2 linked regions of the Caenorhabditis elegans genome follow. The protein of the gene in region 1 purifies or fractionates together with the protein of each later gene. This does not show direct contact. Each region holds a gene or a part of one and is shown in the gene's direction. Other genes may lie near its edges.

What was found. Proteins that work in one complex are often made in the same cells at the same time.
Region 2: the proteins of wht-5 (region 1) and T04F3.3 fractionate together in Caenorhabditis elegans (co-fractionation; one large-scale study listed by BioGRID). This does not show direct contact.

The regions. Positions count from the first base shown.
Region 1 is NC_003282.8:12,335,885-12,341,000, forward strand, and holds wht-5 (ABC transporter domain-containing protein), read left to right. Parts: upstream 1-1,692; 5' UTR 1,693-1,761; coding exon 1,762-1,786; intron 1,787-1,836; coding exon 1,837-1,964; intron 1,965-2,013; coding exon 2,014-2,360; intron 2,361-2,518; coding exon 2,519-2,789; intron 2,790-2,924; coding exon 2,925-3,698; intron 3,699-3,753; coding exon 3,754-3,889; intron 3,890-4,126; coding exon 4,127-4,533; 3' UTR 4,534-4,574; downstream 4,575-5,116. Other genes in the region: F19B6.1 (Uridine kinase), read right to left, coding at 117-157; F19B6.10 (uncharacterized protein), read left to right, coding at 1,309-1,482.
Region 2 is NC_003283.11:11,757,115-11,761,119, forward strand, and holds T04F3.3 (Tyrosine-protein phosphatase domain-containing protein), read left to right. Parts: upstream 1-1,820; 5' UTR 1,821-1,832; coding exon 1,833-1,918; exon of another isoform or gene 1,919-1,966; coding exon 1,967-2,211; intron 2,212-2,437; exon of another isoform or gene 2,438-2,582; intron 2,583-2,628; coding exon 2,629-3,257; intron 3,258-3,299; coding exon 3,300-3,434; 3' UTR 3,435-3,466; downstream 3,467-4,005. Other genes in the region: smoc-1 (Thyroglobulin type-1 domain-containing protein), read left to right, coding at 554-638, 688-847, 894-1,360, 1,408-1,478; T04F3.5 (uncharacterized protein), read left to right, coding at 3,575-3,652, 3,814-3,912, 3,961-4,005.

The DNA.
Region 1 (5,116 bases):
AAATATATTTTGCAGCTGAAAAAACTAAATAAAAAGGGATTTACAGCAAGAAAAATTAAAAGAGAAAGGAATTTTTATTTAAAAAAAAACATCGAAGGAATAAATTTTGACCGTACCTCGTTGTTCGCTGCAATACCCGACTCCTTCGTTTAGACATGTTCCTTTAAAAGCAGGCCTAGAATTTCTGAAAAAACGTAAAAATATATTTATAAATTAAAGTTTTAGGGCAAAATAAGAATTTCGAAAGAATTCTAAAATTGAATGATGCAAAAAAATAGTCAACCAATTATTTTGATCCCAGTGTCCTGCACCTAAATAAATCGCAACGTGCACTTTTCAAAAGCAAACAATATTTGTGCCGACAGTGGGCAAAAACCTCTACATTGCAGAAAAAAGAGATGATCGGATGACAAAATAACGGAACAAAGGTGAGAGAAAATAAGAGAATGCAAGAAAGTTGTGATAAAAATAGGAACAAACAGTAGATTACCGGGGGAAAATCACTGTCGGACAACTCAAAAACTTTTTTAAAAATATGATAATCTAACTTTTTTGAAGAAAAGGTTATATATGAATGCAGAAAAAAATGTGTTCCATCTGGAAATAATATTTATTTTTGTCAAAGTTTTGAAAAAGATGGCCGACGTTTAACGGCACTTTTAACTGCAAACGACAACTTTCCGACACTAGTTGAGGTCTTTTTTAAAGTTATCAATAAAAAATAAATAATATTTTGAAAGGAAACAAATATTTTTCTACATTTAAATATCAATTTTAGTTTTAAAAAATAAGATTATCATATTGAAATATACAGAATATCGTAATGTTATCGGGCACAATTTTCACTTAAATTCAGCATTTTTTTTATCAGTCAAGCCTGTTAGTGTATATTTACAATAATATTTTTAAATTCAATACATAAATATGTATGTCACAAGTTTAATTGAAAGGAAATGTTTCATGTTTTTTCCCGTAACCTTTCAATAAATTAATCACCCAAGACTTCTACAGTAACCCAAGGAATAGCAATAGAATCGTTATTTAAAAATTGACTTATGAAATCATTGGCGCCATGATTACATGACACTTAACTATATACGTAACCAAGTTCCGCTGATGAGAAAGAGAAATGATGTTATGAAACTCAGTTTCCACCTGAAAATCAGCTGATAAACAACGCGGCAAGACAAACAATCTTTCATCAACACAAAAACTTTTTTTTGCTTCTTCTGTGTTCAAGTTTCAAAGCTTATTAGACACACACCACGTCAAGATTTCATAGATCACAATTGGTAATACGAATTGGATATGGGGATGGTATATGGATCAATGAGTGAAGGTTATGGTTGCCGGTTGCCGAAGATGTTAGACCTCGTGTATTTCAAGCCTGCCTACTTCATGCCTTTTTCTTACCGGTCTAGGTACCTACTGCATGCCTACCTTTGTGACTACCACATTCCTGCTTACACACCTACAGCATGAAGGTTTATATGCCTACCTCATGCTTGCCTACAAACCTACTGTATACCCTATGAATATTATAACCTGTATGAATATTTTTTAGTGATGATATTTAAATTTGAAATAAAGCTTTTTTGAGAATTTTTCTTTTTAACGTGACATTCTGAAAACCTAAACCCCTATTTTTTATTTGTTCTAATGTCAAAGGAGGGGGAAATCATTGAAAATTGATTTATTTCTCAACGAGTGCCTCATTAAGCAATCGGTTTTCGATATTAATTCTAGCGGAAAATCGAAAAAATGGATAGCAAAAGCGAAGAAGCTGGTAAGATTTTCAAGTTTTCTTAACTCTACGATATGAAACGAACCTTTCAGAACCTTTGCTAAAACCTAAAAATGTGGAAGACGAGGGTCTAATTACCTCGCTGGATGTGGACCCCACTCAAAAGTCACGATCTCCAACTCCGAAGCCAACTCCGATCCCGGTTCTTATCAATGATACGGTATGAACCTTACAGACTTTTACACCTGGAATCTTCGATAATTTTTCAGCCAGTAGCGTCTGAAATTGAACAAGTGGAGAAGGAATTGGCACATTCGAGTGAAAGATTCCGAAAACCAAAGACTCTTTCTGTGACAAATGACACTGAGTCAGCTCGAATTCCGTCCCAAGTAAAGACAAATGCGAAGAAATTGGTTTTTCAAAACATTCAGGCAGTTGTTCTCAAAAAGAAAGGTGTTCGTCAGGAGATTCTGAAAAAGATTGATGGAGTTGCAAGACCAGGAGAGCTCACTTTTATTATGGGATCGTCTGGAGCCGGGAAAACTACGTTGTTGAATATTCTGACTGGCAGAAACTTGAAGAACATTGAGACTGATGGAGATATTATGATCAACGGGTTAGTGGGGTTTGCTTAGGCATAACCTTAGGCTTAGGCTACGGCTTAGGTGTAGGCTTAGGCTTCGGCTTCGGCTTAGACTTAGGCTTTTCTTTCAAGCTTCCGTTTAGGACCTGAGCAATATGAACCTGAGCATAAATCATTTTTCGCTATTACAGCCGTAACATGATATCAAATGAGATGAAGAAGCTCAGCGCCTACGTTCAGCAAGATGATGTGTTCATCGGAACCCTCACAGTCCGAGAGACTCTTCGTTTTGCTGCAAAACTTCGTTCACCGTCAGCACTTGGCGCCACCGAGTTGGATTCAATTGTCGATGAGCTTCTTGTCATGATGAGCTTGAAAAAGTGTGAGAACACGAAAGTCGGAACCATGACCGAGAAGAGCTTGTCGAGAGGAGAACGGAAGAGATTGGCGTTTGCTTGTGAGGTGAGCAGTGGAATTTGGTGATGCTTAAAAGTAGAGTTTCCAGGCGTCAGGCCCTAAAACCGTGCCTGCCTCCCATGGAAGCCCTACTTGAAAGTTGTTCAAGTGAATCTCGAATAGGAAATTTTACATTTACAGATTCTCACCGATCCTCCAATCTTATTCTGTGATGAACCAACTTCTGGCCTAGACTCATTCATGTCCCATCAAGTAATCAAAGCTCTCCGACAGCTAACAATTGAAGGGAAAACAGTCATTTGTACCATTCATCAGCCTAGTACATCTGTCTACCATATGGCGGATCAGTTGATCCTTTTATCGCAAGGACACGTGGCATATGCTGGACCCGCTAAGCAAGTTGATGCGTTCTTTGGTAGATGTGGCTATCCGATTCCAAAGTTTGTGAGCTCACCGGATCACTTTATGCGTGTGATCTCTCACAAATCTTTCGAAACGGAAGACGATTATAACAAGAGAATCGAGAAAATCGTTTTGGAACATGACATTATGAAGAAGGAACAATCAACTCATTCAACACTGAGCTCGTCGCGTCGTGAGCATCCTGAAACTGCACCTTTCACGTTTCCTCGAACATGGACTGCTCAGTTCTTCTTCATCTTCCAAAGATCTTCGATTCAGCTGTGGCGTGAACGATCGGTCCTTTTGGTGAAGCTTATTCAAACTTTGATCATGAGCATCATGATTGGATCAACGTACTATGGCCTGGAAATCGACAAGAAATCGTTGCCAAGTTTCAAGGGATTTGCATTTGTATCTGTTCAAATGATGCATATGTTATTCATGATGCCAGCCATGACAGTGTTTTGGAAAGATTATCCAGTTGTTGTCAGAGAGTTTCAGGCGAATATGTATTCTCCAAGTGCTTATTATTTAGCCAAAACTACTGCGGATGTGAGTTAATTTCAATAGATATCTGGAAAAAAATTTGAAAAATTTGGAATTTCAGAGCATCCAATATCTGGTGTTCCCTGTCATTTTTAGTGGTATTCTACTTGGAATGACTAGTCTTCCCTATAGTGTTGTGATTATTACTAACTACTTGATCATCAATATTCTTCTCAGTTTGAATGCTTGCTCAGTTGGTAAGTCGATAATTATTAGGGCGCACTTGCTGGCCTCTTAGCGTTTAAATGTTCCAAATTATAATTGCGTGTTTCTCATATTTTAAAATGGAAGAGAAAAGAGAGCGAAAGTGGAAAACTAGGCCAGCGTAGTCATATAACCAATCAGCAGGGTAAGGGGCGTGACTAGGGTCTCTGATTGGTCGGCGCTGAATTGTAGCGCGCGAATTCAAAATTTTCTATATACCTAAATTTCAGGACAATCATTTGCTGCAATGTGTGGACACTTGGCAACCGGAATGACAGTTCTTCCAATCGTCTGTGTGCCTTTAATGGTTTTCGGTGGATTTATGATCACTTATGAAGCAATTCCTTGGTACTTTTTGCCATTTGCATGGGTTTCGTGGTACAAATACGGATTCGAGGCGATCACTATTGTATATTTCAATCACAATAGCACCATTTCGGGATGTGAATCCAACTCGTCTGTTGCTACTTTGAAAATGTCGATTGACAGTAATTGTACTACTGGAATTGAATTCATCAAAGCACAAGCATTTGAGGAAACTCATTTGTGGTTGGATTATACTGTCATTTTGGCTGTAATCTTGTTCTGGAAAATTCTTGGAGCTCTCTTGTTCACTTGGAGGATCAGACGGGCTTAGAACTGTATTTTTGCTATGAGAATGAAGTTTTAAAAATTGAATTTCATTTTTTAAACACAAATATTTAATCACAAATCAGCTGATAAACAACGCGGCCAAACAATCTTTCATCAACACAAAAACCTTTTTTGCTTCTTCTGTGTTCAAGTTTCCAAGCTTATTAGACACACACACACCACGTCAACATTTCATGGATCACGATTAGTAGTACGAATTTGATATGGATGATATATGGATCAATGGTTGACGGCCAGGGTTGCCGGTTGTCGAAGATGTTAGCCCTCGGCAACTTTAGCAACTTCTGATCTAAATTTTGTTCTGGAAAACATATTCAGACAATCTGAAAGATGCAAAAATTTCACCTTGATTTAAAAAAATATTTGAAACCCAGGTGTGCGTTTACAAAAATTTTGTTGAAATTATATATTCATATAAATTTCGATAACAATTTCCAGGTTTTGAATCAAATAAGCTTGATTTTTTGTGCCTAAAATTGTCAAAATGCTTGATGACTTAGACTGAAAGTCTGAATCAAACAGTTTTGTATTATAGAACATTACACCGATATTGGGGAAACTTTCAA
Region 2 (4,005 bases), on another chromosome or scaffold:
ATTGGGGATAAAAAATATCTGGGCGGGATATAGAGACTTTGAACAACCATGAGAAGTTGAACCTTCATAAGTTTATTTCTAACAACTTTTATACAATATTTCAAGAAACCTCCTGAAAAAGTTCACAAATCACTTCCTTTTCTAATTCGAAGTTCTGTGGACTTTGCATTTGAAGAGTCAACTTTTGTTTCGAAACCGGAAAATTGTATTCGATTACATCAGAATACAACATAAAAGAAATGTGACGTCGAATCTTAACACTCAGGTTCTAAACTCTCCATTTTGTTTGAAATTTCCGTTATTAAATTAACACTATAGACATCTTCTCAATTAGGTGTGAATTCCTAAACCAGAAGAACACCCACGTCACTTGAATCTTCAGCCCACACGCATTGCAGAAGAGTGCAACCTAATCTGGTTACTCCTCCTATATCCTCCGTCTTCTCCTCAATTTCACATTTCAACGGACAGCGTTTTTTTTGTTTTGAGATTTGCACATATTTCTCCAATTTTATCGTTATCTTAATTTTAATATAATATTTTTCAGTCGCTCATGCGGCCCGAACACTTGTCTTTACAATTATTGGCTTGGATATACTTGATTAATGGGAATCCAATTGTTCAGAAAGGGGGACTTGGTAGGTTTCTGATTTTAAATTTGTTAATTGTAACTTTAATGTTTTTTAGAAGTTCTGGATATTACTGACTCAAATGATTTGTCTGTTCGTCAAAGATTCGAAGAAGTTATACGTCTAGATTGTGCATCACAAAGACGAAAAGCATTAAAAAGAAAAACTGACGGAGATGCTAGAATTTATATTCCAACATGTTCTCCAAAAAACTCATTGTAAGTTTCTTCGTATACATATTTGTTAAGTTTACTCAATTTTCAGATTATATGATAAAGTGCAATGCTATGATGTTTCAATTTATTGTTGGTGTGTGGACGAACTGTCCGGAGAGCCAAAGTTAGGCTCATCGACAACAAGAGGAAAACCAAAATGTGAAGAAACTCCAACAACTACAGTTGCTCCAAAAAGAGTGAGAAGAAACAATCGGTGTAAGGAAAAGAAGAGAACACGATTTCTGAGGCGATTAGTATCAACTCTCAAATCAGAAATGATAATGAGTGGAATAAATGCAACAAAAGTTAGCAGAGATTCAGCAATTAGATGGAAGTTTAATCAACTCAATATAAATCATAATAATGTGCTTGAAAGAAGTGAATGGAAACCTTTTAAATCAGTTTTGTTAGAATGGAAGAATGTCAGACAGTGCTCCAGAAATCTTTTCAAAACTTGCGATCTGAATAAGGATAGAAAATTGACATTCGATGAATGGAGAAAATGCATTGTTCAAGGTGTGTTTTTGAGAAAAATCATCTGATTTCTCATTTAATTTTTTCAGAAATCAACCGAGTACCAGCCAAACGTCCAGATCAACTAAACCCATTCCTGTACATTTTAAGATCAGAATAATTTTAAGTTTTAATCCTCCCCCTCAATTTGCAATGTTCTTTAAAAATCTACCACGGGTAACCTCCTTCCATTAATCTATTAACCTATATTTGTCTTTCATTCACATATTTGTTTCTCAACAGCATAATAAGTTTGCTTAATTTCAGAGCTTGTAGTTGTCCGGTGTTGAAATATCGTATTTATTTGTAGAAATTGTATTTTCATATTTTCATTGTCAGTTCAAAAACAAAACATATGCATTTAAATTAAATAAAAGTGTTCACTTTTAAAATAAGCACGTGGTGATATTGAAATAATAAGAAAAAAATCACTATAAAAAGAACCTCAGAATTCAAAAAATCTATTTCGAACAAAATGGTTGGTGACGGTTCACTTTCTTCTGAATCAGTTATTGGTCTTCACACTTACAATAGTGCAGCCGATCTAACTAGTGGACATGTGTAAGTTTTCAAGGTTTTCAATAATATTTAAGCTTAATTCATTTTCAGTATGACACTTGAAAAAAACGAGTATCTATTTGATCTGAACACAAAAAACGCTTGCACTCGTCCACTGGATATTTTTATCAAACTTCTTTCAACTTCCTCTGTCGGAAAAGAGTTTTCACATTTCTCGTCTCTTCCATTGTCACGACTTCGCACTGTTGACGCTTTCTTTGATCACCCCGAATTGAATAAATTTGGAGAAATTCAAGTTTACGAGCAGACGCGTGTTCGAGCCGTTCATCGTCAAGGTAATTCAAAAACTTCAGAATAAAAATATGTAAAACTAGTGGGGCGTTACGTCATTACACATTTATTTACTACATTATATTATTTTAGTATCGCAATTTATGTCAAGTCGTTAGTGAAATTTTAACAAATTAACTGAATATTCCACGATATCTCTATTTTAGTTCCACGCCTTGATGTGGTGGCAGTACGTGAATTTCAATGTTTGACGTTCAAAAACAGAAAAAAAGCGTTAGGTCTTTCATGTAGGCGCCAAAACACCTGCCTGCCTCACCTTAAGGCGACCTTCGCCTGCATCGCGCACCGTCTATCAAAATAAATATGAAAATACCCCCTTATGGCTGTCACAAGGGACACTAAAAAGACGGAATGTCTAGATTCTGACTACCCGTCTAAATCCAATCTTCTACACATTTCAGGTCATAATTACCTCAACTCAAGTTGGATCGACGGATATCGTGAAACTCGAAAATTCATTGTCGCCCCGTCTCCTATGTCTGAAAGTGTTGCTCAATTTTGGCGGTGTGTTTTCGATCGTAATTCTCTTATTGTGGTGACACTGTGCGAGCTCCTGGATGAAAAGGGAAAACCATTTGTGCCTGTAAAGATTGGAGAACCATTGGTAATTGATGATATGACAATTGAGTTGGATAACATTCGAAAAGTTCGACCGGCAACTTACTCTTCTGTTCTGAAGATTTCTGAGAAAGGTGTCGAATCTCATAAAACAGTGATTCTTCTGACCTATAGTGGATGGGGAAAACTTGGTTATCCACAGAAACCATCTGATATTCTGGATTTATTGGCAGATATGAACCATATGAGAACAATTCTCAGAAAACAGGGACTTGAAAAGAAGATTTTTGACGACAGTCAACGGACACCAATGACATTGGTGTGTTTTGATGGATTCAGTAGAAGCTGCACTCTTGTTGCTTTGGATATTCTTTGTCAACGTCTGACAGCCTCTCATGAAATTGGTACTCCATTTGTTGATATTCTGGATACAATTGCTAGACTTCGAATGCTTCGTGGTGCAGCCTGCATGGTGATACGTTCTTTATAACTAGATTAAAATTAATATTTTCAGAAAGCCGAGCAGTTTGTCTTCTTATCAATGTCAGTTCTCGAATATGCCATTCGTCATCATTTGGTGAATGTGGAGGATCTCGGTAAAATCAGCTTGAATGGGTTTATCATTCGCAATAATCCTGAATCTTACTGACCCGTTTTTTCAAGTCTACAAATAAAAGATTCTTCAAATTTTTTATTCTCATTTTATTTCCTTCCGGATGACCTACATTAAAACTTGAGTCATTTTCCCAATTACCACCTTTTTGGAATGTCACTTTCAAGTGTCAAACAATGAATACGTACACATATCTTCAGATTTACTTTATATTTCTTCACATCTGTCACTGCCAAATATTTCAACAAATTCCAGTGAGTCCAGTAACTGGTTTGAATTTCAACAACTTTTTTAGAATCTGATTTATCTGAGAAACTATCTTTGTCAAGAATGTTATTATCTTTCAGAAAAATTTGTTAGACAATTTTCACAACGTTCGATGAAAGGATATTTCTGAAAGTTTATAGTCTTACAGGTTGGAATGGGTATGGGAATGGGTATGGGAATGCCTATGGTTATGTCAATGCCAATGCATAATCTTGTTGGAAACCCATTTGAACAAGGAATGGAAATTGTACGTTTTCATGTCATGATTTTCAATTCATAGTTCTCTAAAATTTAGGAATACTCTCCAATAACTCAACTTGTTTCATCAGTTGCTCATCTT